7 linked regions of the Canis lupus familiaris genome follow. The protein of the gene in region 4 purifies or fractionates together with the protein of the main gene of each other region. This does not show direct contact. Links are inferred from orthologs where the notes say so. Each region holds a gene or a part of one and is shown on either strand. Other genes may lie near its edges. The genes, in order: ZC3H4, YAF2, GPATCH2L, CSNK2A2, NRP1, PIP4K2C and EIF3J.

Evidence for each region.
Region 1: the proteins of CSNK2A2 (region 4) and ZC3H4 purify together in Homo sapiens (affinity purification with mass spectrometry; 3 studies listed by BioGRID and IntAct, with this or other methods). This does not show direct contact. The link is inferred for Canis lupus familiaris from reciprocal best matches to the Homo sapiens genes CSNK2A2 and ZC3H4.
Region 2: the proteins of CSNK2A2 (region 4) and YAF2 purify together in Homo sapiens (affinity purification with mass spectrometry; 9 studies listed by BioGRID and IntAct, counting the BioPlex papers as one, with this or other methods). This does not show direct contact. The link is inferred for Canis lupus familiaris from reciprocal best matches to the Homo sapiens genes CSNK2A2 and YAF2.
Region 3: the proteins of CSNK2A2 (region 4) and GPATCH2L purify together in Homo sapiens (affinity purification with mass spectrometry; 5 studies listed by BioGRID and IntAct, counting the BioPlex papers as one, with this or other methods). This does not show direct contact. The link is inferred for Canis lupus familiaris from reciprocal best matches to the Homo sapiens genes CSNK2A2 and GPATCH2L.
Region 5: the proteins of CSNK2A2 (region 4) and NRP1 purify together in Homo sapiens (affinity purification with mass spectrometry; 5 studies listed by BioGRID and IntAct, counting the BioPlex papers as one, with this or other methods). This does not show direct contact. The link is inferred for Canis lupus familiaris from reciprocal best matches to the Homo sapiens genes CSNK2A2 and NRP1.
Region 6: the proteins of CSNK2A2 (region 4) and PIP4K2C purify together in Homo sapiens (affinity purification with mass spectrometry; 3 studies listed by BioGRID and IntAct, with this or other methods). This does not show direct contact. The link is inferred for Canis lupus familiaris from reciprocal best matches to the Homo sapiens genes CSNK2A2 and PIP4K2C.
Region 7: the proteins of CSNK2A2 (region 4) and EIF3J purify together in Homo sapiens (affinity purification with mass spectrometry; 5 studies listed by BioGRID and IntAct, counting the BioPlex papers as one, with this or other methods). This does not show direct contact. The link is inferred for Canis lupus familiaris from reciprocal best matches to the Homo sapiens genes CSNK2A2 and EIF3J.

The regions. Positions count from the first base shown.
Region 1 is NC_049222.1:109,582,124-109,586,088, forward strand, and holds part of ZC3H4 (zinc finger CCCH domain-containing protein 4), read left to right. Parts: intron 1-546; coding exon 547-698; intron 699-1,584; coding exon 1,585-1,681; intron 1,682-1,785; coding exon 1,786-1,925; intron 1,926-2,526; coding exon 2,527-2,634; intron 2,635-3,965. UniProt on the Homo sapiens protein: RNA-binding protein that suppresses transcription of long non-coding RNAs (lncRNAs). LncRNAs are defined as transcripts more than 200 nucleotides that are not translated into protein.
Region 2 is NC_049248.1:34,870,571-34,875,098, forward strand, and holds the start of YAF2 (YY1-associated factor 2), read right to left. Parts: upstream 3,064-4,528; 5' UTR 2,931-3,063; coding exon 2,905-2,930; intron 2,514-2,904; coding exon 2,388-2,513; intron 1-2,387. UniProt on the Homo sapiens protein: Binds to MYC and inhibits MYC-mediated transactivation. Also binds to MYCN and enhances MYCN-dependent transcriptional activation. Increases calpain 2-mediated proteolysis of YY1 in vitro.
Region 3 is NC_049229.1:49,439,801-49,443,765, reverse strand, and holds part of GPATCH2L (G patch domain-containing protein 2-like), read right to left. Parts: intron 3,636-3,965; coding exon 3,556-3,635; intron 673-3,555; coding exon 614-672; intron 1-613.
Region 4 is NC_049223.1:57,697,390-57,701,354, reverse strand, and holds part of CSNK2A2 (casein kinase II subunit alpha'), read right to left. Parts: intron 3,546-3,965; coding exon 3,462-3,545; intron 2,664-3,461; coding exon 2,553-2,663; intron 2,312-2,552; coding exon 2,210-2,311; intron 1,467-2,209; coding exon 1,366-1,466; intron 352-1,365; coding exon 203-351; intron 1-202.
Region 5 is NC_049223.1:3,641,536-3,645,942, reverse strand, and holds the start of NRP1 (neuropilin-1), read right to left. Parts: upstream 3,150-4,407; 5' UTR 2,634-3,149; coding exon 2,555-2,633; intron 1-2,554. UniProt on the Homo sapiens protein: Cell-surface receptor involved in the development of the cardiovascular system, in angiogenesis, in the formation of certain neuronal circuits and in organogenesis outside the nervous system. Mediates the chemorepulsant activity of semaphorins.
Region 6 is NC_049231.1:2,029,875-2,033,839, reverse strand, and holds part of PIP4K2C (phosphatidylinositol 5-phosphate 4-kinase type-2 gamma), read right to left. Parts: intron 2,833-3,965; coding exon 2,686-2,832; intron 2,503-2,685; coding exon 2,464-2,502; intron 1,879-2,463; coding exon 1,765-1,878; intron 1,411-1,764; coding exon 1,143-1,410; intron 957-1,142; coding exon 853-956; intron 659-852; coding exon 578-658; 3' UTR 1-577. UniProt on the Homo sapiens protein: Phosphatidylinositol 5-phosphate 4-kinase with low enzymatic activity. May be a GTP sensor, has higher GTP-dependent kinase activity than ATP-dependent kinase activity. PIP4Ks negatively regulate insulin signaling through a catalytic-independent mechanism.
Region 7 is NC_049251.1:11,491,870-11,496,356, reverse strand, and holds the start of EIF3J (eukaryotic translation initiation factor 3 subunit J), read right to left. Parts: upstream 2,930-4,487; 5' UTR 2,814-2,929; coding exon 2,768-2,813; intron 2,682-2,767; coding exon 2,578-2,681; intron 1-2,577. UniProt on the Homo sapiens protein: Component of the eukaryotic translation initiation factor 3 (eIF-3) complex, which is required for several steps in the initiation of protein synthesis.

The sequences.
Region 1 (3,965 bases), on a different chromosome or scaffold from region 4:
TTCATCCTCCAGCATCTCTTAGTCTGGTCATGTTCCGGGGACTCCATAGCCATGTGTGGCTAGTAGTCCCTGTATTGGACATTTGAGTGCACCTACAGTGGCCAGGTGCCCCTGTGGCAGTATAGCCAGTGAGCATCCAGAATGCTGAGGCCTGAGGACCACTAGTTTTTTTTTTTTTTTTTTTTTTTTTTTAATTTATTTATGATAGTCACACAGAGAGAGAGAGGCAGAGACACAGGCAGAGACACAGGCAGAGGGAGAAGCGGGCTCCATGCACCGGGAGCCCGACGTGGGACTCGATCCCGGGTCTCCAGGATCGCGCCCTGGGCCAAAGGCAGGCACCAAACCGCTGCGCCATCCAGGGATCCCCTGAGGACCACTAGCGAGGGCATGTAGGGGCGATGGGACAAGCTACCTGGAGCTGCTAAGAAGGCTTGAGGAGGAGGAAGAGGACATGACTGACATCAGGGACAGAAAATGGGCTCACGTCTCTCTTGCTGATGAGATCTCCCACTCGGGGCACTTACCGTCTGAATTACCCTGCAGGCAGCCGAGGCCGTGGCAGAGGCTACCGGGGTCGAGGCAGTCGTGGAGGGTCTCGAGGCCGAGGCATGGGCAGAGGCAGCCGCGGAAGGGGCAGAGGCTCCGTGGGAGACCACCCCGAGGATGAAGAAGACTTCTATGAGGAAGAAATGGAAGTAAGCTCTTCTCCAGCCCCGGAGGAGTGGCGGCAGGGAACATGGGAGGTTGATGGGCACTTTTTGGGAGCTGCCTATACAGACCACAGTGGAAGGGAGGGTGTTGGACAGCAGGGCTGTGTCTCAACATTCATTTCTTATTTTGAAATAGAGGAAACCTTCATGCAGTTCAAAATTGAAAAAGTGCCAAAGCTGTGAAAACATCTCCCTCCCCTTCTACCCCCAGCAACTTCATTCCCATCTCCAAAGACAAGTTTCCTGAGTGTCTCCTAGAAAAAGTTTTAGGCCTAGGGGCACCTGGGTGGCTCAGTTGGTTAAGCATCTGCCTTCAACTCAAGTCATGGTCTTGAGATCCTGGGACCAAGCCCTATTTTGGTCTCCCTGCTCAGCGGGGGAGCCTATTTATCCCTCTCTTCTCTCTCAAATAAATAAAATCCTAAAAAAGAAGTTTTAGGTCTTTACAGTCAGGTGCTTATTTATTCATGCCCCCCTGCACACACACACAGCTTCCACATTGATTGCTCTGTCCCCGCCCAAGACCTTTCTATGCCAGTATGCAGTGAGTCTGCTCTTTGTTACAACCACACAGCTGTCCATTGTGTAGGAGGCTCCCTGTTGGATTTGCCCCCGGAATTGGGAGTTGTAGGAGTGAAGAGCTTGAGGGAGAGGATTAGAACCACCCCCCACCTCCCCCTCCCCCTCCCAGTTTTGGCTGTGGTCTGTGAAGAGAGGGCACAGGCAGGTCACCCTGAGTTGTTCACTGGCCCTTCTGAGTCTCATGTTGACCTGCATAAACAAAAAGACAGGGGCAGAAAGTACAGTTAGGGACAGTGTTCATCGTTCCCCACGTGACACTCGCCTTTTCTCCTCTTTTCTGGAATCCCAGTATGGAGAAAGTGAGGAACCAATGGGAGATGAGGATTATGACGAATACTCCAAGGAGCTGAACCAGTACCGCCGGTCCAAGGATGGCCGAGGACGAGGTGGGCAGAGGGCCCTGGAGGTGACGGGTCGGTGGGGCTCCTTTGGGCAGCTGCTGGGTTTGGATCCTGGGGAGAAACAGCAGGTGAATGCCATTTCTCTGCAGGGTTAAGTCGAGGCCGTGGTCGGGGTTCCCGAGGTCGAGGGAAAGGGATGGGCCGGGGTCGTGGTCGAGGTGGCAGCCGAGGAGGGATGAACAAGGGCGGAATGAACGATGATGAAGACTTCTATGACGAGGACATGGGCGTGAGTTGACTCTTCATTTGGATTTGATAGGTTTGGCCAAGGCCTCCTTCCTGGATTTTTTTTTCTCAAATGAGTTGGCCTCTAGCCAATGCTGTCCAGCTTTCATTAGCTGTTCTCTGTGGGGCCGTTGAGCACTAAACATCTCTGGGGGTGGGGGGCTGGGCTGCTGGTGAGACCCTCTGTTTTTGAAACCACATCTCTATAGCACCTGAGTCTATGAGGTGGGGAAGGTTCCAGGTGACTCATCCAGGTAGCCTGGAGAGTTTGACAGAAGACGCGCATATTGCCTTTAGGAGGAGAATGTGTTCTGTATGGTTATGTGGTACTCTTCAGTTGCCAGCAACTCCATGTGCCAGAGCTTTTCCTGTGTGAGCGCCAGCACTCCATACCATGGGGCTAAGACCCCACGTGGCCTTGGTGCTGGTGGTAACGTGCTGGCCACTACTCTTGCTACGTGAAGATTCTTCTGTCGAGGGAATGTTCATCCTCAGTGGCCACCTTCTGTTACAGTCCCTCAGAACCTGTCTGCCAGTCTCCATCACCCCCTCCCCAACCCCTCCTTCTCCTTGCCCTTTATGCTCACACACTGTGTTCCTAATAGGATGGTGGTGGGAGCTACCGGAGGAGTGACCATGACAAGCCCCACCAGCAGTCTGACAAGAAAGGCAAAGTCATCTGCAAATACTTCGTGGAGGGGCGGTGTACGTGGGTAAGGGGCCAGTTAAAGTACCTGGGCGTGGGAGCAGGGCAGCAACCTCCCAGAGGATGCTCAGGCTTCTGGGAACGTTCTACAGGCTATGCTAATTGGGGGCCATGGCCTGGTAAGGGTGGGATTGACTGACTACCAAGAAATGCTTGGGAAGACTCTGTTCTCTTGTCTTCTCAGAGAGACTGAGGAGCCAGAGTGTGATAACACATTTGTGGCTTGTTTTTTGGTGTTTTGTTTTTCTTGGTTTGGGGGCCAGAATTTTCAGCCAGTCCAAATGGCCTCAAACGTATTAAGATTGATACCGATATAAAGATGTAATATGTCCTGGTTGAGTTATTGATCTTTAATGATGTCGGAGAGGGAATTATTAAGATTTCCAGATAGAGGAGGAGGTGGAGTGAATCAGGCCAGCCTTGAATTGCACAGCAGCATTCAGTACCAGAAGATAAGCTAATGACCATAGAGTTCTGAGGGCATAACCCTGTATGAGTTCAGCCAGCCACCTTCTTATTCAAATACGATGGCAGTGGACAGATACTGGTGCACATGTGCTCAGGGAATATTGTACCCCAGTATAGGCTTTAGAGAAAAATAAATATTTCAGACCAATATATGTGTGTGTGTGTGTGTGTGTGTGTAAAATATTCCTTATACAATCTCAACTTATGTTCTTTTCAGAAGCTTATAATAAATCCGTAGAAAGATAAGTAGCCATTCATGAGAGTAAGGGGAGATAGCTATCCCGAACGGTTTCTCTATTTTGTTCACTCGGGTGTGTGTTCTGAGTGTGTCTGACTGTGGATGATGTTAAAATTGAGCTCCAATAGTGTAAATGTTCAGACGTCGTCCCTCTGAAGGAGGTTGGTACCCTGGTCACTGGTACTCTGGGGAGACTCCTTCCACTTCAGGAATGTCCACCATCTTTGAGCATGTGGCTTTTGTCCTCATGGTTCCATAGTGGCCGCTGAGCCTCTGGGTATCCTCCCGTCTACGGGCTAAGAGGAAAGATGGGTGAAGGGGTGTTTGTTTTGAGTCAGCATTGTCCTCCCTGGGGACTTTGGCCTACATTTCATTGACCAGGACTTCCAGAGAGGCTGGGGAATGTACTTTTTCAGCTGGGGGCACATTCTTCCCAAACAAAACGGAGGTTAGGTTAGGAAGGAAGAAGCATGGGGCTGGATACTGGCCTCCATGCAGCCAGTCTTGAAAAACAGCATGCAGGTAAGAAGAGGGAGAGGGAGAGAGTGATAAAGGAGCATTGAGGGTGAGGGGCAGTGGAGTGGAGCCTGGTGGAATGGGGACAGGGAAAGGGAGGCAGGGCCCAAGAGAAG
Region 2 (4,528 bases), on a different chromosome or scaffold from region 4:
GACTTCTGGTGAGTTGCCCAGAGCCTCTTCAGTTTCAATCCAAATGACAATGCTTCTCTGAGTCCTCCTCAAGTAATGTTTCCACCACTAAAAAAACTGGATCTACAAGAGCTCAGATGTACTGGTAAAAAAATATCAGGGGCCCCCATATGGGCCTGAAGCCTCTTTTACACTAGGCCCACTTCTCTGTCCGGGGCCAACTCCCCTGTGCACTATATTCCTTCTTCTTCCAGGTGCCAGGTATTCAGCCTGTTTCTTCTCTTCTGAGCTGCCACCACCTACTCTATTTTCTCAGGGTTCCTCTAACCCCAAGACTGGCTGTGGAGTAGGACAACAGCTTCCCCCCTTCCTTGCTGTCCCTGCAAATAAACATATAGGCTCTTCTAGTTTCAGTATTTTTTCTAATGGCTACAAGAAAATAGAGAGGGAACAACAAAAAGCAACAACATCGTACCAGAGATTAAGATTATAAAATAATTGTCTCCACTTTAAAAGTCCCTGCCTGGAAAAACCACATTTTCTGAAAATTGCTTGAGTGTTTTAAGAAGCACAACGTACTAACATAGATATACAAATATATTCTAAACCAAATCCAACCTTATATAAAAAAATAAAGATATTCTACTTTTCAAAATACTTAAAGCACGGGTCCAAAAATTGTTGCCATGTTCACTTTAGCAAATAGGTGCTTTTTTTTTTTTTTAATGGTCTATTCTATTTCTTGAATTTAGACATTTTAAAGTTTGCTTCTTAAAGGATATCATGAAAAATGCTCTACATATTTTATCCAATGTAAATGAGATTTAATATGTAAAAAGCATATTAGGATCCATGAAAAGACAAGTATGTGAAATGCAGCTAGCTTCTAACTAAGCAAATCTTAAAATTTATTTCCAACCATTCTGCCTCTATCTTTAAAAAAAAAAGTCATAAATTGTTGTAAATGGTGTTTTAAAACCTGGTTATCTCGTTTTTAGGATTCTAACTTCTACCGAATATATAAATCTAATGTCAATACCAAATAGGCCTTTTTTAAAGCAACAGTCTATCACATCAGTATACCTATACCCTTGAGTTTCTAACAGACTATTTTTTAATATCAAGGCACATGATATCTAAATATTAGCTATAAATCCCATGCTTACAATAAATTCCAAGGCTACTTTCCTATAAAGTGGAAGGAACTCTGTAACGAAGCGTTGGCAGATCAAGAACGTCAGACTTTGAATTTCCTGTATGATTTTCTTTATCCACTTAATCCACTAAGTGGTTTGTTTTTTTAAAGACTGAGCTATTATACTGTAGGCCTACAATAAAATAAAAACTGAAAATAGGCAGAGATCATTTCATCTCATTTGTATAGCCTAATAGATTGCCATTTCATCAAACTAAAAATACTCAAGATACTTTCAGTAAAAAAACAAAAAAAATGTGTCCCTGTGACCGGGCTCACCTCCAACTATTTATAAAATCTTAGAGAATAAGGTTAAAAATACTAACCGAAACGTTGATCTAACCGTTCCAGACATCTATATATAAAATACAGGAAGTTCAACCTATTGTGTATTCTAGAATCAAATACTTTTTCTTTCTTTGCTTTTGGAAGAACGAAATTAAATTCTACCTTTTGCTTTCTCCAGAGTGTCTCATGGTTGGTTTTTTTTTTTTTCCCCCTTTGATTCCTAGAATCAAATACTTTTTCTTTCTTTTCTTTTTTTTTGGAAGAACGAAATTAAATTCTACCTTTTGCTTTCTCCAGAGTGTCTCATGGTTGGTTTTTTTTTTTTTCCCCCTTTGATTCCTAGAATCAAATACTTTTTCTTTTTTTTTTTTTTTTTTTTTTTTTGAAGAACGAAATTAAATTCTACCTTTTGCTTTCTCCAGTGTTTCATGGTTGGTTTTTTTTTTCCCCCTTTGATTCCTAGAATCAAATACTTTTTCTTTCTTTTCTTTCTTTTTTTTTTTTTTTTGGAAGAACGAAATTAAATTCTACCTTTTGCTTTCTCCAGAGTGTTTCATGGTATTTGTTTTTTTTTTTTCTCTCTCTCTCTTTGATTCCTACACACTAACACAACAATGCAGCCAACATTATTATACCCGGAATGGGAGGCCGGCGGGGGGGGGGGGGGCATCACACCCAGCGATACGAATTACATCGCAGGAGCTAATGCCTCGCCTTAAATAATTTATTCTCTCTTGGCAGCAAAGTAACGTTCCGGCCTCTTCAATTACCGCTCGCCGCAAACCGCGGCTCGGGGCGCGATCAACGTGACCCAGTTCCTGTCGCGGCCGCCACCTCGCTCCCGCCGGGGCTGCGGTGTCACGGGAGGGGCGGCCTCCGCAGGGGCGGGGGCGGCGACGGCGCGCCGGGCAGGCCCGCGACTCACCGGGTGGAGGTGCCCTTCCGCACATCGCACATCATGCACTTGAAGGCCTCGGCGCTGTTCCGGAAGGTGCAGACGCTACAGTCCCAGTAGCCCTCATCCGAGGACGGCTTCGGCTGCCGCTTCGGCCTGCAGGACACAACCCGGACACGACGCGGCGCGGGGTCACCGGCAGGCCGCGCCCGGCGCTCGCGCCCCGCCCCGCCCCCGCCCGCCCCAGGCCCGCGACCCCGCGGCCCCCCGCGGCCCCCCGCGGCCCCCGCGCCCCGCGCCTCCCCGAGCCCGAGGGAAGCCAGCGAGGGGGAGGGCGCGGCCGCAGTCGCCGCCGCTCTGACACCCGCGGCCGCCGCCATCGCGGCTCCATTGTGGGGCGGCCGGCGCCGGCCCCTCACACGCGGCAGCGGCAGCGGCAGCGGCAGCGGCGCCGCCCCCGGTGTGGCCCCGCAGCCCGGGCGGCGAGCGAGCCGGGGAAGCCCGGCGCTCGGGCCCCGCCGCCTGCGCACCGCCCGGGCCCCGTTACCTGGTGGGGCTCTTCTTGTCTCCCATGGCTTGGCTACCGACGCACGCCGAGCTCGCCGCCGCCGCCGCCGCTCTGTTTGTCAATAAGGAGGATAATAAGCCGGGGCGGAAGCGGGCGGGGGAGGAGGAGGAGGAGGAGGAGGAGGAGGAGGAGGAGGGAGGGAGGAGGGGGCGGGGAAGGCCGCAGCGCCGAGCTCGGGAGCCGCCGCCGCCGCCGCCGCCGCCGCCGCCGCCGGAGCCCACGCAGCCTCCAGCTGTCGGGGAAACTCCTGCCTGGGCGCACGTGACCCGCGCCGGCCAATCAGCGGCGGCGCCGGAGACTTCAAACGCGGCCAGCGCGGCCCAGCGCCCGCGGCCGGTCGGCGGGGGCGGCCGCCGCCGCAGCCTCCCCGCCGGGGCCGCCGCGTGACCCCTCACGGCCCGAGCTGGCGGCGGCTCCCGGAGGAGGAGGAAGAGGAGGAGGTGGAGCCGCCGCCGCTGCTGCTGCTGCTGTGCTGCCGCCGCCGCCCCGCCAGCCCGCGGGACGACGGCCGCCCCGCTCGGGAGGACAGCCCGGCCGCCTCCTCAGGTAGGGCCGCGCGCCCGGCCCCGCCCGGGGGCTCACCTGGGGGAAGGCGGGAACCAGCCCGAGCGCGGGCCTTAAGGGGGGGGAGGGCGGGGACTTGAGATCCCAATTTCTCTGCACGCGAATCTCTGCCCAGAAGGTATCGTCGCCCTTAAATTAGAGGAAACGAAACCGAGGCCCGAGAGAGGTGAGGTGACCTCCCCCGTATTATTATATAATGAGAAGATGACAAAGGCAGGACTTTAACCTTGGTTTTAATTCCAAATGCATCCTTTTGCCCCCCCCCCCACCACTATTTACAATGGCTTTAAAAAAAAAACTCATAAACCCTTTTTCTTTCTCTCTCCCTCTCTCTTTTTTTTTTTTTTTTTTTTTTTAAATAACGAGTTTACATATTCCCTGGAGGCTGCTGACTGAGAAAGGAACACGTCTCTCCCGAGCCTCGTTGCCTCCACATACCGGATGCGTCGACCTGGCCCCGCGAAGCTCCAGCTCTACTTCCTCAATCTATTAGGTAATCTGCAACCAGATTGAAAATAAAATGCAGACGACGTTAGGCCACCATCCGATCTAGCAGTTCGCTAAAGGCTCTCAGACTCCAGAGCCTGGCATTCAAGAATTTCCACTTTCTCCCTACCTCCCTCTCCCTATCCGACTCCCTCCTCCCACCCACCCCCCATCAGAAAAGCTGCCTCCTGGCGAAGACAGCGGATGAAACTCTTGTATTGAGTCCCCAAAACTCTTCCTTCGCCTAGGTGTGTGGCTTCCTTCTGCATATTTCCCTCTTCTCTCCGTTTGTACTGTCTCTACCCATCTCTCTCGGTTCACAGCGAGTCCGAATTCTGTGCAATAGTAACCCTAATAACTGAAAGAATCTGAATGTACTATAAAGGGACTAGTGAAGTCAGGAGTCCCGGGTTTTCAGCCGACTTTCCCGGTTCCTCCGCTGATGGACCTTGGAAATTGGGCTTCATTTCTGTGATTCTCAACCTCTTCATCTGCAAAATGTTACCTGTATTTATTACGAGGTTGTGTAATTAATAAAATAGCTGACAGTTTT
Region 3 (3,965 bases), on a different chromosome or scaffold from region 4:
GGAAATCTTGCCATTTGTGACAACATGGATGAACCCTGAGGGTTTAGGTTAAATGAATAAATCAGAGAGAGAAGACAGATACTGTATGATATCATTTATATGTGGGATCTAAAAACAAATGAAAGAATAAAACAAAACAAAACACATAGGAAATGGATTGGTAGTTATCAGAGTGGAAGGGGGTTGAGGGGTGGTTGAAAGGGCTCCATTTCAAGCTGATGGATGGTACTTAGATTTATGGTGATGATCACTTTGAGGTGGATAAAAATACTGAAAATTACAATGCTGTACACCTGAAACTTATGTAATGTTATATGCCAAATTCACCTCAATATAAATATATAAGTAGTGACATCCTAATTGGAGGCTACTTTTAAAATGCAATCACCTGTACATATAAACAGCAAAGAAATAAAAACTAGTCTAGAAAGGAAAAAAAGAATCTCTCTCATGAGTTTAGTGTGTTAGCCATGTTAACTGTTGTGAAGTACAAATCTGTAAGATTTTCTCAATCAGCTCTAAAGTCAGATTTCTACGTTCGTTCATAAAACTTCCCTCTGCTTCCTACTCTAAGGAATGGGCTAGGATAATGCATAAATATATAAGCACTTACTCCTTCTGCCGAGGGTCACTAATGATGTGGCCTATCCTCTCAGTACTTATGCTGGTCTCCTGCAATGGCAAGAAGACAAGCATGTCATCTAACCACAGAAACAAACAAAGTATGATCTGTCATCAAGTTCACACTTTCCCAAAACTGCCAGCAACCTCAAAGGCACATGTCAAATGTCAATCTTAAAACCCAACAGCAAGTTTATTTCTTTTTATGGGAATCTATTTTAAAAGGTTATTCTAGACTTTTCTCCAGTGTTCCAAAAAAAGTCATTACAAACCTTGTTTACTATATTATATAGCATTTTAATACAGTGAGTTATTAAAGTATATAGTAGAAAAAACAACTTTTAAAAATCCAACAACAGCTGATTTTTAACAGGCTGCACACCAAACTCCCTCAGATCATATGATTACAGCCCCAAAAACCATCATGATGGGAAATTTACCCAGTCCTCACTGGTAACACCTAAAATCTGCTAACTAAATGTACACATATTAAAGGAATTTTGTAACTTAAAAAAAACTGTTACCCTATCTTGTCTGTTAAGCATCATCTCTTAGAGTAAAACAGATGTTTGTACAAATTGGTCCTTAAATTTAGGGTTCTTAAGACTATAATATGAAATCTTACCCGTAACACCACAAGCAAATCAGAAACTAATCACCTCCAAAAAAATTAAAAACTGGCACAAGGCACTCACCCTTCATTTAACTTGAGTACATTTACAATGAATGCCTATGACTGTACCTGGGGAAGTGCGCTGATAGTACATGAATAAGAGTTATACACATATGAGTTAAGTGATAAGATGAGAGAGGATAAGTCATGGGCGTGAATGTCAAGCCTGTTACATTTGTTACTGGGCAAACATTATGATCGGTATTCATTTATGTGTGCGGATTAGCCTAAAATATTAGGGTTACACATTTTAGCAGAACTGACTCTAGAAAAATTGATGCGAGGTCAGATTCTGGGCGGGAGTGGAGCTAAATGAAAAGGCTTCACATACTGTATTCTTCACATTCTTCATCCCTTACACACATACCTCCTGGTCACAGACATAGCCATAGTAGTGGGGCCAAGGGAAAGGATGGGTGAAAAATGAGCTATTTGTTACTGCAGAAAATTATTAACTTAAAGTGCCGTAATGTTTAAATTTACAGTTTATTACTGTGTAAATTACAAGCAGTACTTTGCGTAATTAGCAGCTCGCTGGCAGAGAGCTGTGAATGAAACTCATTATTTATGATTACAATTTAGAAAAAGAGCAGAGAGGTGGGGGAGGGGGAAGTAGGGGGGCAGAACATTGACCTCTGCTAGAAATGACAAATATCCCTTTAAGGTGATGAAGATGAATTAAACAAGTAAATATTATCCTATTCATTTGAAATTCTTAGAGGCACATCCAATAGGCCCTAGAGTTTCCTTTCAGGCAAGCTAAAGGAAGCCTTCAAGATGAACTGATTTACTTCTCTGGAAATGGAAGGCTCTTATAGGAGCTGAAACAAAGTAAGGTAGATAGTAGGTAAAACATTATCTTTCAAGCCTAACTAATACACAGAAAAAATAAAACCATCTCTCTGCTTCCTACTCCCAACCTCCTGCCTCCCTCCACCTCATGTACTCCTACCCTATTAGCTGTCCTATTAACTAAGAATAAGCTCCCAGAACAGCAAAAGGAGCATTTTCTTGTCTGAGAAATCAGTGAGCCAAAAGAAGAAGATATCGTTCTTCCAATAATCAAATGTTTTTCTAATTAAGAGATTTGAAATTGAATTTAAAGATTAAAAATATCTCCGTTCACCTGGAAATAAACAGTTCTCTATTTCAACTACAGAACAGTAGCTCCCTGAGGGTAGCCAGGCTGTGGCTGTGATCACTTGTACCTAGCCTGGCACAGAGCCTGACACTTGGTAGGCATTCTAAATATTTATGCAGTGAACGAATTAATGTTCTGAGATGCCTCTCACTCCCTTGCCTTTTGCTCACCACCATTTTCTCTAACTAGGTATGAGCCCCAGGCTCAACTTACCTTCAATCTCAAAGCTAGAGTAAAAGTTAATTAAAATAATTTTTAGGAGTACCTGGGTGGGTCAGTCAGTTAAATGTCTGCCTTCAGCTCAGGTCATGATCCCAGGGTACTAAGACTGAGCCCTGCGTGGGGCTCCCTGATCAGTGGGGAGCCTGCTTATCCCTCTCCTTCTACCCCTCCCCCCACTCATGCTCTCTCTCACTCTCTCTCAAATAAATAATAATCTTTTTCTAAAAATAATTTTTAAAATTTAAATTAGAAAAGATAAAAGTACAACTGAGTTCAATTCTCTCTTCTGCTACTTCCATTTACATAGCTTCTTTGAACCCAAGTTTTCCTCATCTGCTAAGTGGAAACATCAACTCTTCTACAAGGTTGTTGGAAGGATTAAATGAACTGGGTGTAAAGCAGAGCCGCTGGGCAAAGGCAGAACTGCGTAAGTGGTAGAAATTCCTCCCTCATGGCCAAGGAGAAGCTGTGAAATCTGAGGTTTTCTTTCCAGTTTTGTTTTTTTTTTTAACGAATTCTAGAATCAAAGTTAGGACAGAAGAAGCATTCATGAATTCAGGAGGAGTTATAAAGAAGCCAAGAGTATTTTAACTTCTACAATAATGTTATAAGATTAATCAAAAGAGTAGAAGAGACAAGATCAGGCCTGTAGATTTATAGACAAACTGTCATAACAGTGTTTGCTTTGTCAAAACTTCTGTATGAGTTAAGCTTCATCTTTTATGTGTGTACCATTTATATCCTATATAAGGTTCATTCTTATGAACTTGAAAAATATTTCAGTTGGCTTCATTTACTCCAGGGGAGTTCTGCAGCACCTTTGATTATCAAGGTACACAAATCCCAAAGGGAAAATACTGTCTTCCCAGTGAGCCCAGTAGACAGTGAGAGCAGTTACCTTCCCAGCAAGCCTTCTTCGGCCCTTTCTGAGGCATCGAGCTGCAGCTCCAGGCAGACGATTCAAGCGGGCATGGTACCCTAAAAAAAAAGAAAGTCCTCAGAAACAGAATGCAGAAGACTCCTTAGTGATGATATGCCTCTAGTATACCAAAGGCCTTCCTCCCCAGGATCTTACTAGACTGACCCTTAAGCTAGTATCACTAGTCTATTTGCCAAGGATTTATTATTATCATGCCTTGCAGTATGATCATAGGTGTGTCTTTACCTCTGACCTAGGCATCCTCACCTACAAAGGTGGGATAATCACTTGCTCAGTCCTATCTTACATAGCTGATCTGAAGACTCGATGAAGTAGCACAGGAAAGGTACTCTATAAACTGAAAACACCACACAAATATAAGGCACCAT
Region 4 (3,965 bases):
GGCAGTGGACAAGCAAACACCTCTGCAGATCAAGAAAAGGAACTGCAAGAGCTGTCTCAATAGTCCAGAATGAATGAGGCCAAATTCCAAGGATGATTCAATCCAAACACCTAGAATTCTCCTGACTGGCCTCAAAGATAAAGAACAGGAGACTTATTCCTTTAATAAATCAGGCCCCTGCAAATGGTCCCTGGAGACTCACAGAAGTAGGGATGCTCCATGGCCTCTTTGGCGGTCAGTCTCTGTTGATGGTCGTATCGCAGAAGTTTGTCCAGAAGATCTAGGGCCTCAGGGCTGACGAGGTGTCTGTTCTCACTGTGGATAAAGTTTTCCCAGCGTTTCCGTGAATGTCTGAGGAGGAAAGGGAAGCACTGGTACTGAGATTCAATTCAACAAGAATCCAGACATTACCATGGTTAAAGCCAATAGAATCTTAGAACCCCAGGAGGATTATAAACTTATTAAATCTCATTCTCACAGGTGTCTGCCCCACCCTCCACGGGAATATCTGAGGCATCTTGAAACAAAAAACATGCTCTCTGATAAAATGAACTAAAGCTTCTACATCTGATTTAGAATTTGTGGCACCTTCCTAGATCATTTCTTATGGATCAGGCTTTTAGTCAATTCTGGTGAGGCACAGAGGTGACAGAGTTATTTTTGTTGTGCAGCAAAAATATTTAGAGAGCTAGCCTTGGAAACAGAGGCTCCACAAAACACTGAGAACTGTCAACGCATTTACTTTTCAACACTAGTACACTGTACCTGCAAATATGCTTTAAAATTTGCCACGTTGGGGGGATCCCTGGGTGGCTCAGCGGTTTGGTGCCTGCCTTTGGCCCAGGGCGCGATCCTGGAGTCCCGGGATCGAGTCCCACGTCAGGCTCCTGGCATGGAGCCTGCCTGCTTTTCTCCCTCTGCCTGTGTCTCTGCCTCTCTCTCTCTCTCTATGTCTATCATGAATAAATAAATAAGATCTTAAAAAAAAATAAAATTTGCCACCTTGTAGAAAACCCGTTAACTAGAACAAGAAAAAACTATAAATCTCTTCCTCAAAGAAGAATCACAGCTTTCTAAGATTTTCCATTAAAATAAGCATACACTGTCCTGCAAAGCATTTCACTGTAACAGGATTTTGTCTCCTATTTTCTATGGACTGACAGGTTATCTCTTGGAGAAGTACAACGATCAGAAGACACATGTAAACAATGCCCAAACCTCAAAACAAGTTTTAAAAAGCATACATGAGAAAAAAGAAGGGTATTTTCAACTTTGCTATGATTAGCAAGTGATTTCGGCGAATATTCCCTCTTCTGAAATGGGTTTAGTTAAAACCCTCGTTCTCTCTCCCTCTCTCTTACTTACTGTCCCAGGATATCGTTGAAGTGCGGATCTAGGTCTATGTGATACTTCTTCAGATACCCATACAGCTCATCTGTACCCAGAACCTTGGCAATGCGAACAAGCTGAAACACAAAACAAACTGACCAAATTACTGAGCACAGAGCTCACCGCAAGCCTGTGAGGATGCTATCCCAAGAAATGAGAGGACTTCTCCATCACTGAATCTCCAGGGACCAGAGGCAGATTGGAGCCCGGGGCTGACAGGAGGTAGACCAAAGGCCAATGATGTTCACAGAAAGCAAATTTCCAAACTCCCTTTAAAATGGTAATAACTGGGATCCCTGGGTGGCGCAGCGGTTTGGCGCCTGCCTTTGGCCCAGGGCGCGATCCTGGAGACCGGGGATCGAATCCCACATCAGGCTCCCAGTGCATGGAGCCTGCTTCTCCCTCTGCCTATGTCTCTGCCTCTCTCTCTCTCTCTGTGTGACCATCATAAATAAATAAAAAAAAAAAAAATTAAAAACAAAACAAAAATAAAATGGTAATAACTTAAGACAATAATCTTCCAGAAGCTGACAATTACGGGGGCATCACAATCTAATCTAGAAGCTAGTTGTTAGACAAGGTGTGTCTGACTTCTTCACAGACTCACTGTGGGGCATACGTGGAGCTTAGTAAGATAGCTTTATCTGGCTCTATGTTTGGGGACCTAGTAACCACAGACAAAATCTCATGAAGCTCTTTACCCTGAAGGAGAACTTAAGTGCAGACACTGAGTGACTCAAGGATAGCATCCCTGTCAACAGACTCCCATTTCTTTGGCATGTGCCCCCACATGGGGAAGAGCCAGTTAGTGTTTGCTCACCTGGTCATAGTTGTCCTGTCCGTGAAAGAAGGGCTCCTTTCGAAAGATCATGCTTGCTAACATACAGCCCAAACTCCACATGTCCAAGCTGTAATCGTACATCTGGGGAAACAAGGTCAGCCTGTTAGTGAAAGGTGTTGCAAATGTATTTCTTTGATCTGGATTTCTAGTCTTCAGTTGACCTTTGCACATATTTTAGAATTCAAAGAAAAAAAAAAAAGTCACTGAGAAAAATCTGAAATGACTGCTTCAGGCTGGGGTTTTGAATGTATCCAAACTGACTTAATAAACAGCACACGAGGAGAAGCCCTAAGGAAACACACAAAGGAGGCGTGAGTTGTACCTGATAGTCCACAAGGAGCTCCGGTCCCTTGAAGTACCTCGATGCTACACGGACATTGTACTCCTGAGCAGGGTGGTAGAACTCTGCCAGACCCCAGTCTATGAGCCGCAGCTACAAACACAACAGAAATCAAACCCGTAAAGGAGTGTTTCTAGACACCTGTGCCTTAGAAAAAGGCCACATCACGTTAGCTGACAATATGTGCGCTACATAACAAATGTTAGCCAGTGCACTGGCAAAAATTACCCTTTCAGCAACTGTGGAAGAGGTCACCTCTACAGTAGAGCTTTCAGAATCTTATTTGTTGTTGTTTTTTTTTTTTAATTTAAATTATCCTGGCTTATCATTCTCTTCCCATCAATCAAGCTTAAGCTTTTTACTCTGCCTCTGTTTTACTTGCATATAACACATTCCCCCATTATTAACAGCTCCCATCATAAGCTCAAGCCACAACACAAAGGGTTGGAGACCCAGGCCCCACCCCAGGATTGAAGCATTGCTCCAGCTTTTCATTAATCACACAGTAGTGGAATCACTTACTCACCAATCAGAGACAACCAGAATTGGATATGAAAAACAGGAGGGACCCAAGTGTAAAGGCTAGGCAGACTGGTCTAAGGGTCATTAAAAGAAGTACAAACCATCTGCTGGAGTTTCTTTGCGAGGCCCTCTGGAAAACCATGACCAAAATAAACAAGGGACTACAGTTAGGCTCACGGGTCTACTTTCCTTGTGTACCATGCTCATGCAGAGCAGAAAGCAACACTGGAGACCGGAGAAATAACAATAACACAAGTCTGCCAAAGAAAACAGTACTGGTCTGCAGTCCCTCCTAGGTCAATACCTAGAGTTGTGGTCTGCCCTAGACCTTTTAAGAAAAGCCTTGTTGCTGCCTGGCTGCAACGGTACCTTTTTCTGTTGGTGATCTATCATGACATTGTGAGGTTTCACATCCCTGTGCATGATTCCCTTGCTGTGGCAGTAATCCAGAGCCTATTAGATAAGAAAGCACAGAGAAAAGTAAGCACACTGTCTACCAACCTCCCAACGCAAGCATATTATTTGTGACAGCTTCACGTGAATACAATCTCCCAAGGGGCAGCTTACTGCTGCGACAGAGGACAATAACCATGCCTCAGATGGTACCCCTAGTGCTCTGTGCACACTATGCTGGCAGCCGGCGGAAAAGGGGCTGCGTTAAGGAGGGAAGATAGGAGACACTTCTCTGGACACTCTTGCTACTTGCAGTTAGTAAGTAACACTTTACCAGTCACTTTGACTTAGGAATCATACATTAATCTATTGGTCTAACTCAAAGGGTTTAAAACCAGTCCTGGGAAACTCACTAGAGTCCCCTCTCATAGTGATTCAAATGGGAATGACAAACTGTGACATCTGACATGGTTTGTCTTC
Region 5 (4,407 bases), about 54 Mb from region 4:
GGGCTGCTTTATTGTTCAGTGTAGATTCTCATTGTCACTTTTTATTATGGATTTCATGCTGGAGAGTCTCAGCCTGAAATGCTGCCACATTTATTGATGCTTAATTTTAAGCAATAAAAATTTGGTGCATGAACTATGTAAGAGGAATAGGTATGAAAGCAGTGAAATATATAAGCCTATCAATCACAAATTTTCAGTAATGGTATATATAGATTTTAATATTGCATCTAATAGATTCCCTGTGGAAAGAGAATGGCATTCTTTGCTCTCAGCATGAATTTATAAATCTACAGAATTTTATTACAGGAAAACCAGGTCAAATGGAAATGAAAGATGAAGTGCACATCAAAAATGCATAAAGCTACATGCATTACAGAAATCATTTCCCATAAATTAAAAAGAAGACAATATAAATCATATTGTTTTTCTCAATTGCTGGATGTTTCTGACCATGTTTCCTAGACTGGGGGTACCCTTATGCTTGGTTTCCTTTGCCTGGGCTTTTAAAAGCTTAAGGTTTTGCCAAGAAGAAATGTTGCAACTGGAGTTTGGAATCTCAACTAACGATCATACTGGACTCTGTTACGTGATTCCACTGAGGCTCTTCCATTATTTTAAATGTGCAGAAAACTTGGAAAGTGACCCCATCTCATTAAGTCTCCTCCAGCTCTATACAAACATCATGGCAGTGTCTGGCATCCGTTAGAGGAGTGAAATAAAACAGCACTGCTTCCAGTCACTCCACAGAGTCACTTCAGAAGACATTTAGGTGGACTTGGTACCACACCAGAGCTCTTTAATCTGTGACTTCTGAGAAAGTGACAGTGTAATAAGATAATGTGGACTGCTAGACTCCCTGGCTCTGTTAAATCTCTCTAACAGTTGATTAAGAAAGAGCAATTTCTAATGACTCTGGACCATTAGACCTAAATAAGGTTAATGAATTAATTTAGCAGACACTGGTACTGCAAGGAGGTGGACATGGCTTTAAGAGGTCTGCTGTGTTACAGAGGCATTTACTGGCTCTGGTCACTGCAAGCAGAGCAACATGGTTTTAACCAGTCAAGCTCACAGACTGAGGCTCAGGTTCTCAGCATTTTCCAGATTTCTGCTAAGAAAATTTAAAAATGTATTTCATATATATTCACGCACGTTTGTATACATTCATATACACACACATATGTATGTGAAGTTCACTACCTACAGTCTGGAAGCTATTTGCATTAGGTTTCAAATCTATCTTGTGTACATCTCTACTACGGATTTAATCTCTGCAGTTGTAGAGGGCAGAGGCTGGGTTACTATAACTTCTAAAGCCTAACCACTTGACCTCTTTCAATTGGAGGAGAATGTTATTTCATCCCTTGCCAGATCGTACCGAGATGCCACCAACTCAGGTTCATTAATAAATTGAAGTCCACATTCACAGTTGTGTGTGTGTGTGTGTGTGTGTGTGTGCGTGTGTGTGAATGTGTATGTGCACGCGCGCGCTGCCTCCTAAGCGTATCTGTTGGAACACTGCTTGGTAGCTGTTAGGGGAAATCTATTGCTTCAGTCACCAAACCTCCAAAAAGCATATTATAGAGATTAACTTCCATCATAAAGGCATGATTTAAATTCCTCTTGGTATGAACCCCTCCACTTGTGGTCTCTTATTAAAACAATATACCACAGTAAGTAGTGGGTGTTCTTTTCTCCTAATTACTTTGATTGAAATCTAAGCCAGACAAAAGTAAATATTTGATAATTAGTTAATAATTGCTGAAGACTTACTGTTAAGATAATTTCCTACCCTTGCCTTCACCCACTTTAAAGTGTAAGTTAAACATGCCTACAAGCAGATCACGCTTTAAAATACATTATTTAGGTTAAGGGATACTGTTTATAACCTGGTAGCCTCGAGTGGTTTTAAAAGCTAAGTGGAAGCTGCTAGGTTAGGGATTTTCAGAAATCCCGGTGTCTTACACTGTATATATCAGATTCCTTTATTGACAGTGTGTAACTTTCATTCATACTTCAGGCAGATTAGGGGCGATTTGCAAAGGCGAGGGAGGGAGTTCCCACAATCAAAAACCCGCCGTCGGCCGCAGCACCCAGCAGAGGAAGCGGTGTCGAAGAGCTGCAAAAGAACCAGGAAGTTCTCCCGGTAAAGCGTTCATTAACTTTCCGCAGCCATCAAATTTTTGAGAGGGAGTCTCATCTAATTGCCTTTGGGAGGAAACATTATTGAGATAATTGGTGGTGCTGATCTGGGAAGGCAGGCAGCTCTGCCTTGGAACCGAGGCAGGGGAAGCCCCGTCACCAGGCCACCAAGTCCAGGAGCGAGGCGGCGGCCTCGGCGTCCGCCTGCCCCGCCGACGGGTCTGGTCTCTCTGTTCCTCTCCCCGGACGACGGTTTCCCGGGCCCGGACGGCGGCGGCCGGCGGGCAGCGCGGGGGCCGGAGCCCGCAGCCCCGCCGGGAGCCCGGGAGCCCGGGAGCCCGGGAGCCCGGGAGCCCGGGAGCCCGGGAGCCCGGGCGCGGCGCCCGCACGCGCGCCTCCGCCCGTCACTTACCGTTGCGGAAAGCGCCGGCCAGGGCGACGGCCACGGCCACGGCCAGCGCGGCGCTCAGCAGCGGCGGCCCCCGCTCCATGCTCCCTCCGCCGGGCCCGGGCACGCACCCGGGCAGAGGACGCGCGGGCAAGTAGCGCAGGGGCCGATGCACACGCTCCGCCGGCCGCAGCTCCGCCTCGAGCCGCGAAATCCTCGGTCCGGCTCGGAGAGAAGGGAGCAGCGAGGCAGTGCCTGGATCCGAGAGAAACGCTTCTCTTTTTGTGTCTCAAGTCGCCTGCATCCTGTCATTTAGCTCCGGTTTCCTCTCTCTTTTCCCACACTTGTTCCTCTTCCAGGAGCCACTGCCCGGGCCATGTCTCAAAAAAAAAGGGGGGGGGGCCCGACGGGGGAGGAGAAGGGAGGTGGGGAAACACACCAAAGCCAATTTCCAGAAAGGAAAAAAAAAAAAAAAAAAAAAGCTTGTTTCTGGACCGGTTGGAGCCGAGGAGCTGGCGCCCAGGGGAGGTCCGGGGTGTCTGCGCGAAGGAGAGGAGCGAGCAACGGAAAGATGAGCGGGAGACAGGACTTTCAGCAACTGCACCCCCGCCTGCGCCTCCGCCCCCCCCCCCGCCTCCCCCGCCCCTCCTGGAGCCCTTCCCTCGCTTCCGCCCTCCCCTCTGCCTCACGGGCTCGCCAATAACTGCCTGACAGGAGACTGGGAGGAACAAGTTTCCCTCCGTGTGCTTTTCCCGTCCTTCTGTCCGTCTCTCCCGGAGGCCCTGAAGGATCCCCGCGGGGAGGGGGCGTTGGGAGCCTGCGCCCGGGGCGCGTGTGTGTGCGCGTGTGTGTGCGCGCGTGTGTGTGTGTGTGCGCGGGGCGGGGGGGGGGGGCGTCGAGGTCCGCGCCAGCCGCCGGGTCGGGCGAGCCTCCCGCCGCCCGCCTGCTCGCTCCGGGCCCCGCGGGGAGAGCCGCAGCTCGCCGGGGGTGTCTCTCCGGGATCCCGCCCCGGAGGCGGCCGCTGCTTCTCGCGACTCCCAGCCCTGCCGGCCGCGGCGAGGAGCGGGGTCGGCCCGGGCCAGAGAGCGGCAGGCGCCCCCGACGCTCGGGGCAGGGCCGGGGAGACCCGGGGGAGCCGGGCTGGAGCGGGAGGCGCCGCGCGGGGCCGGCCAAGGGCCGACGCTGTCGCTGTCGCTGTCGCTGTCGCTGTCGCTGCCGCGTCGAGCCCACCGGGCCACTCGCTCCGGCGCCGGCGCCGCTGGGCTGCGGCCGCGCTCGGCCCCCCGGCTCCGCTGCTGGGCGCGCGGCCGGCCGCCAGTCGTGCTCGGGTGCCCGGCGCCCTGCGGGGGCCCCATTGTTAACCCAGATGAGGCGCCCGCCCCTCTGGGACGGAGGAGCGCCCGAGGGCCGTGGGGTGCGCCCTCCCGCTGGGGGGCGGCCGTCGCCCCGCCCCGCCCAGCCTCGTTCTCCACCGAGCCCAGGTGCTGGGGGAGGGGGGCTTGCGATCAGGGGTCCGGGCGCCCCTCTGCGGTGCTCCTCGGGGCGGGGGCACAGTGCGAGGCAGAGGCCCTCGGCAGGGCTCACTCGGCGCGCGCCCCGGGCCAGGCGGCCGTCACGCCGGGCACCCGGCGCCTACCCCCACCCCCCGCCCGCGCGGCCGCACCGTGGGCCGCGGGACCCCAGCCCCCCCGCCCAGGGCTTTCCGGGAACCGCTGCGGGAGGCCTCCGTGGATAGGGATAGCAGACACGCATCCGGGGACAAACCGGTTTCGGCCACAGGTCTGGCCCTTGAGGCGGCACGTCCCGTAGCGGCCCCCCTCGAGGAGTTTGTGGGGAAGGTGAAAAGGTCACTGCACCTGGGAACCGGCGTGTGTGCA
Region 6 (3,965 bases), on a different chromosome or scaffold from region 4:
ATGGGCCATAACCCATCATATGTGTGCATGCCAGCACCCACACCTGTAGTATCTTAAAAGTCCTCCATCCCAGGGTCTACCGGGAAGGAGGCATGCCACAGTGAGTTCTATAAAGTTATCAGCAAAATTCAGACATTCTTAGTTCATCCCACACAGCAAAATGCATCCAGAGTAGTTGCTTGAGCCAGGTCCATCCGTCCAGTCAGTTCCTGAAGATGGCAAGTAATCCCCTTCCCCCATCTCCTCCTATGTTCTAGAAACAACAGGACATTTACAAAGATCAAGGCACTTGGGAGTGAGTCAACAGTAACACTCTAATGAAGCAAGCAGAATTGCTGGAAGGGAGGGAGAAATGGAAGAAAAGTGGGCGGGTGGGGAGGGGGGGACAGGACAGTGTATTTCTGAGGGTCAGGAAAAGCCTAGTCAACAAGATGGAGTTGTGTGGGTAGAAGGAGCCTGTAGCTGGAATTTAACAAAAGAGGAAGAGAAGTAGTAGTGGTCAACATATCCACAGCTCCCCAAGCCTCTCGGAACCCTGCCACCTTGAACATAAAGCAGCACGGAGTCTGGTAGTCTCTTAGGCAAAAATGTTGGTAATAAAATCCAGGAACCGCTTAGCATACTGCTCAGGATGGACAGTGGAGATCTCTGCCCCAGCCTGCGAGAGGAGGTAGGAACACAGCGTCAGGCACCCCACCACCCCATCCCACTCCGCAGCCTCCAGTCCTCCCCACACCACTTCCGCACCCAGCCCTTCCCAGCCCTTCGTCCTTTTGCCACCCCATTGCTCCCGTACAAAAGGCTCCCTCTGTTCCCAGTCAAAAGATAGGAAAGGATTTGGGGAGCCCTCACCCCGTGCTTGACAGTTTTGGCTGCGTGAGCTGCTTTCTTCTTGGCATCATACTGTGTCAGGATGTCAATGAGGCCCATGAAATACACCTCCTTCTGGGGGGCCCCTGGGGAAAGAAAGCGAGGAAGAGCAAGTATAGTCCCAATTCCCTCTTCCCAAGAACCAGTCAGATCTGTTTTGAAAAGCTAACTGGCCTCTCTCCCACCACCCTGGCTGGTCTCAGTCCCCTCACTCCCCCAAGGCCAACCCTCCCCACCACCAACACCCTTAATATTTCCAGGATTTCTCTCACCCTCAGCACTCCGGATGGCATAGACGTCAATGAGGGACTCAAATTCTCCAGGGCCCAGGGGCCGGTGAGAATGGATGTAGCCGCCAATACCCTCAGGGGAGGTGCCATAGGAGCCCACCAGAGCAGGTGGCCCTGTCAGGTCACAGTCTCCATCCCCCTCTGACTCCTCCTCCCGCACAGGTCCCTCCTCCTCTGGGTCAGAGCCCCGAACGATGTCGTGGATGCCCAGCAGAAGGCTGTAGTCCATGATCTTCAGCTGCACTAGGAACTGAGACCCCACTGACAAATCAGATACCTCAGATCTCCTTCCCTGCTCCCAGCACCACACCACCCTTATACCTCCCCTCTGAGCTTCAGGGGCCCTCCTGGGGAAAGGAAGGATGAAAATCAAGGGTTGGGAGTATACCACTGCCCTTTAGTACATCAATGTCCTGGTACCTGAGGTCATCCTTTTAGTCAATTCTAGCCATCCCCTCCATGGGTCACCTCTAAGGGTTTTTTATGTCCCATACCCAACTCCCCTACATGCAGAAAACCCAAAGAATAAAGGGAACGGGAGAGACAGCTGCCCCGGGGGGGAGCAACAGGAAACAGCCATTTCCCAAAGCACCCCGATCATCACCTCCACATCTCTCTTTAGCTTCTCTAGAAATACTTTCTTCTCCTCTTCACCAATATAAACCTTCTGGTTCTTGTTGAGAAAATCCATATCCTTAAGGGTGGGCAATTCTTTAACCTGAAAATAGGTAAGGGGAATCTTGGGAATACAGCCCTTCCCTCAAGGTCTCAGAGAACCATGCTCTCTTCCTAGGGCTCTCTGTAACTCAGTGGCCTTGAGGGGAGAGAGATCTCACAGCTCCTCTAACTGCACACTGCCATGCTGCCCAGAGGCCGTTCTCCGCTCTTGTGGCTTCTCCAAACTCAGTCACTGCAGCGGTACCCCAAATCACATCCCACTACCGTCTGCTTATGGTTTCCAGTCAAGACCTCACATACCGCCTTTCATTCTTCTTAAGCAGAAAATAGCCACCTGAATACAAGAACCCAGAGCGGGGGGTAGAGAGTAAGCATTTCGCTCTCAAAGTTTGTCTTTATCCATAGCCACACCTTCCACATGGCCTAACCCATGCCAGTGAGAAAGCAGCTGCTCCTGCTGCCCATTCCAAACACTTAATCCCAGCATCAGCACAAGTTTACACCTCTCTTCTTTTTGGTGGTTTAAGATAAGACGAAATAGCTGGTGATCCCTACCTCTATCCTAAGGAGATCCCTTTATCTGCCCTCCCTCATCCCTCACCCTGTCACCTAAAATTAGTATCACCTTTTCCTTATCGCTGGCTTCTCGGGACACTAGGGAGCCCTGTGGAGAGACCCAAAGACCAAGTCAGCAGAAGTGGCTAAAAGAAGTTAGGATCCAGCTCCTAAGAGGAATATTCACACCCACAGTCTTCTTTCCTTTGAAATGAACCATCTCAGTGCCCTCCCAGGCCCTTCCCCACTCTCAGGCTATCAGGAGCCTCTCCCTCAGCTAGCCTCTCCTTACCTTGAGGTCATACTTCCTGTGCACAGGAAGACGGTGGCTAAACATGTTGCGCATCACAAGCACGTAGCTGTCTTCATTGTCCACGCTAACTCGATACATCCCCAGGAACTGGGGCAGCAGTGTGTTGCCATGGCACTTCACAATGTACTGGGGTAGAAGGGAGGAAGGAATGGGGAGAAGCTGAGGAGTAAATGCACAACCAGCCCAGGGATGGGAATTCAAACACCACCATTCCAGAGTAGGGCAGACAACTTCAAGTAGAGAGATTACAAGGTCAAAAGTGTGAGTGGGGAGCGCCTGGGTGGCTCAGTCAGTTGAGCATCTGATTCTTGGTTTCCACTTAGGTCATGATCTCAAGGTTGTGGGATTGAGCCCTGCAGAGCATGGAGCCCAGCTGGGATTCTTTCTCTCTTCCTCTTCCTCTGCCTTGCCCCACCCCCACCCCCAGGCGTACCCCTGCATGAATGCTCTCTCTCAAATAAATAAATAAAATCTTAAAAAAAAAAAGTGGTGGAGACTTGTTAAAGGCATCTGTGGTATCCATGAAGTTTCTGAATCCCCATCTCCTGATTTATTCCATTTGTATAATGTCTCTTTATATTAAAGCTTTTATTTATTTTTTTTAATTTTTATTTATTTATGATAGTCACACACACAGAGAGAGAGAGGCAGAAACACAGGCAGAGGGAGAAGCAGGCTCCATGCTCCGGGAGCCCAACGTGGGATTCGATCCCGGGTCTCCAGGATCACGCCCTGGGCCAAAGGCAGGCGCCAAACCGCTGCACTACCCAGGGATCCCCTAAAGATTTATGAGAGAGAGAGAGAGAGAGTGAGAGAGCATGCACGCGTGCACAGGTAGGGGGCAGAGGGAGAGGGGCAAGTAGACTCCCTGCTGAGCATGGAGCCCAGCTCAATCTCAAGACAGAGACCATGACCTGAGCCAAAATCAAGAGTCGGATGCTCAATCAACTGAGTCACCCAAGAGCCACTAGACTCCCTATTTTTTTTTTTTTTTAAGATTTTATTTATTTATGAAAGACACACAGAGAGGCAGAGACACAGGCAAGGAGAAGCAGGCTCCATGCAGGAAGCCCGATGCGGGACTCAATCCCAGGACTCTAGGATCAGGCCCTGAGTCAAATACAGACATTCAACCACTGAGCCACCCAGGTGTCCCTCTCTCTATTTTTTTAAAAAAGATTTTATTCATTTATTCATGAGGGAGAGAGAGGGGCAGAGACATAGGTAGAGGGGGAAGCAGGCTTGTCGTGGGGAGCCCA
Region 7 (4,487 bases), on a different chromosome or scaffold from region 4:
ATTAACACTGGGATGCCTGGGTGGCTCAACGGTTAAGCATCTGCCTTCAGCTCAGGGCATGATCCCGGAGTCCCGGGATCAAGTCCCACATTGGGCTCCCTGCATGGAACCTGCTTCTCCCTCTACCTATGTCTCTGCCTCTCTGTGTGTGTGTGTGTCTCTCTCATGAATAATAAAATCTTTAAAAAAAAAAAAAAAGAGAGAGAGAGAGTATTAACATTAACTGAGTGCCTCAGAAGTGCTAAGCAACTCTGCTTAATGCTAGACATTTAATCATTTAAGGTGCAAAATAGGGGTGCCTGGGTGGCTCAGTTGGTGTTGGACTCGATTTTGGCTCAGATCATAATCTCAGGGTTGTGAGATCAAGCCCTGTGCCTCAGACTCCACAATGGGTGTGGAACCTGCTTAAGATTCTCTCTGTCCGGGATGCCTGGGTGGCTCAGCGGTTGAGTGCCTGCCTTCAGCTCAGGGCGTGATCCTGGAGTCCTGGGATCGAGTCCCACATTGGGCTCCCTGCATGGAGCCTGTTTTTTCTCTGCCTGTGTCTCTGCCTCTCTCTGTCTCTGTGTCTCTCATGAATAAATAAATAAAATATTAAAAAAAAAAAAAGATTCTCCCTCTCCGTACCCTAAGTAAATAAAATGTAAAACAACCCCCCGAAGTTATCTCCTATAATGAAAACTTAGACTGGGAAACTAAAAGGAAAGATTAAAAAACTTGTTTGTGACCACAAATAGAGAAAATGTCAAGGCAATATAATGCACACCCATGTCTGTCTGATTCCAAACCTAAGAATCAAACTACTCCATGAATACCATAACCTGGGAATCTTGAAGAAATTCAAAAGAAACCAACATTTCAACTCAGAAATAAAATGGACAAGTTGAGTTTTTCTCCAAGATCAACTTCAATGTTTATGTAAAAGAAATAAGATATTTGAATAAAAGAAAAGAATCTGCACTGAAAGAGTGACTGGAGAAGATGACCTTTATGGTCTCTTAGCACCTGTAAATCTCAAACTTAGTTACTTCATTTTCTGGTACTTCTTTCCTGATTTATCCCATCTTTTCTTCTCATTTGCTAAATCATTCCCAATTTTCAGAACAGATGTCCTAACTGCTGCATCCAGTAAGCATACAAAAAGTCAAAGGACAAATCTGAACTGAAGGCTCAAAACAGAAAGTCCAAGACAATTCAGGGAAGTAACTAATACCTTGCAATGAGACTGATACACAATCCATTCCCATATATATACAACATGTAAATACAGCATTTAAGTATCTTCACAAGAGTACTACTCATTTATTAATCTCAATGTATGCAAAGCTCACATTCTCCCTGAACCTCAAGCTGTTCCATAAACTGGAACATAAATCTATCTCATTATAATGACTCTGAGGAGAAAAAGGTAAAATCCAAACAAAAGTAGTATTAAGCTCATAGTGATTGTCTAGCTTAAATTTTTTCAACCCGAGCAGGACTGAACAGGGTTCCCAACATGTATTGAAGGGTAGAAATTAGGAAAGTGAAAAACATACACTAATTGAATCAAAACCAAAAGAAACTTTTTTCTCAATTCATACAAAACTTTATCTGCACCAATATATAAAGATTTTGAGAGTTCTGTTAATAAGAATCTTAACATTCTGGGGTTGAGAGGTGTTAGCTACTTAAAAACAAATACACTAGTCATACTGTCATCTGAAGCCATTTGATAAGTCCCCAGGAGTTTTCAAAAACAAAATGTACATCTGGTTTAGATCAACAAAGCACAGGGGAAAAACACCGGCCCCTCGTCTATTCCAACCAGTATTTCCTTAGGAATCATTTGTATGTAGATAAATAACTCTATCAACTGTCCATTTCCAGGTCGCTGGGTGGACTACCTAGGTTTCTGGCCAGTAACTCCTGGTTATCTCAGTACTCGGTTCATCTCTTTACCACAGGGCGGGGGAGGGAAGCCTAAAGTTATTTCACTTTACTGCTTCTATTGGTCTTGTGTTTAAAAAAAAAAAAAGACTGAAATTAAACCACAGTATTTCATTCATCTAACTGCTCAAACACACTCTACAAATGGGCCTTTGGAAACATAAATGAGTTACTGCCCCGGGAAGATCTGAGCTCAAAAAGGCAGGTGGGTTGCAAGACTTTCCATATGGGATACACCGTGGGGCTCAACCCCCGACTTCCCGGATCCTTCCGGCGAGCGGCTCCAGACCGCGAAGTTTGCACGTGGGCCGGGCCCTGCTGCTGCTGTCACCTCCCGTCGCCAGTTGGCGGATGGGCTCCGGGCCGGGGCGCAGACCCTTAAGAGGGGCCGGGGCCGGGGCCGGGGCCGCCACCGCCCTCTGCGAGGAAGTCCAAAAGGCCACGCTGCTAGACTTCGGCCCATATGGCTGGCGAGCCGAGGAGAGAAGGGCAGCGGGAAGCCCGACGCTGGCGTCTGGACCCGCAGCCCCGCAGGCCCGGGCGGCGCCCCTGGGCCCAGAGTCCACCCGCCCGCCTGTCGACGGGCATCCCCGCCCGCGACAGCGCCAGTCCGCTCCCGCGCCGCCGGGAGCCCCGGCCCGCACCCACCTTGACGTCCTCGTCCTCGTCCTCGCCTTCCCAGCGGTCCCCGCCGGCGGTGCCGCCGCCCCCCACCTTCCGCACCGGGTCTTCCACGGAGAACGTGTCCGCGTCTACGGAAGAGAGCGAGCCGCGTTAGCGCCTGCTTCGGCTTGAGGCCAGCGCCGGCCCAGGCCCTGCCCCCGCAACTTCTCCTCACCCCAGGAATCAGAGTCCCCCGCCGCCGCCGCCGCCGCCGCCGCCATCTCGAACCGGGCGTGAGCGTGTGTGAGGGCAGAGCTAGCGAGGAGTTAGCGCGGCGGAGGTGAGTCACTGGCTTTGCTCTCGTTGGCCGGCGCGGGGCAGGCTGGGACCGTGGCTGACTGTGCGCCGGGGCCCAGGCCCCGCCCTCTCTGGAGGAGGTGGCGGGGCGACGCGCGCGCGGGCGGAGAGGGGCGTGGAAGGCGGCGGCGGGCGCTGGCGGCGGCGGGAGGGTGAGCCCGAGGGGGAGAGGGTGGTGTCGGAGGCAGTGGCGCGGGAGGAGAGGAAGCGGCCCGGAGACGGTGCCCCCGGCCGGGCCCCGGGGAGGAAACAGTGCGAGGAATTAGGAGGGCGGCCCCTTGCCTGGCGCTTGGCCCCCGCCGGCCCTCGCGGGTCCTCCCCTGCCAACTCCAGCCCCTCCGCGTGTTCCTTTCGGTCGCGGGCGGTGAACGCCACGCCCGCCCGTGGGGGCGGTGGGCCGGCGGCCGCGACCCGACCCTCGCAGCGGGCGCCGCACCGCGCCCCGGCGGAGAGCACGTCTCTGGAAGCCAGCGCGGCCCGGCGCCGGGGAGGAGCGAGTGCACGGGGCCGCGCTCCGGGCCGCCTTCCCGGCCTGGGTGCTCGAATTCAGCTCCGGGCACGTTTGCTTCTAGGTAGTCACGAAGGGATCGAAGAGGGCCCCAGAACTCGAGGATTGTCCCTGCTTGGGAGCCCCTTGAAGCCAGCACACGATTCTTTGGCAGAGTAATTTCGGAACCTGGCCTGCGCCAGGCCTAACCTCTAGCCTTGTCCTCAACGAGCGCACGATCGAGTAGCAAAGACAGACATGTAAACAAAATTTCGACACAGTGTGATGACTGCAACGACAACAACAACAAAAGCATTATGAGGTTAAATGTAAAAAGGTAACTTGAACGGCTGCCCGGCACGGGTAGCGGGAGGATGCTTGAAAGGCTTCCCGGGGGATCCCTGGGTGGCGCAGCGGTTTGGCGCCTGCCTTTGGCCCAGGTGCGCGATCCTGGAGACCCGGGATCGAATCCCACGTCGGGCTCCCGGTGCACGGAGCCTGCTTCTCCCTCTGCCTATGTCTCTGCCTCTCTCTTTCTCTCTGTGACTATCATAAAAAAAAAAAAAAAAAAAAAAAAAGAAAGGCTTCCCGGGGCAACTACCACGGAATCCGGAATTTGAAAGACCGAGTGAAATGTGTTTCAGTACCTTTCCGGTGGAAGGAATGCTCCGGTCCTCGACCCGACTGGCACAGTCGGAGATAAGCTGAAAAGGGAGACTAATCAAAATAAAGGGTTTCAGCTGGGCTGCTCTCTGCCCTTTGGGCCCCTGGGCTCCACTGCAGGGTATTAAGAGGGGAACAGTTCCAGATATTTTGGCTTTCCTTTTGTTAAATTAATTTATGTCTGAATGTGTAATATATCTACATGATATAAAATTCAAGTTATTAAAGAGCATATACAATAACCAGCCTTTCGATTCTTTCTAGGAACAGCCGTTCCTTGTTTCTTACTATCCTTTCAGGAAGTCTACAAATACACAATTTTTTAAAGTTTATTTATTTTTTTAATTTTTATTAATTTATTTATGATAGTCACAGAGAGAGAGAGAGGCAGAGACACAGGCAAAGGGAGAAGCAGGCTCCATGCACCGGGAGCCCGACATGGGATTCG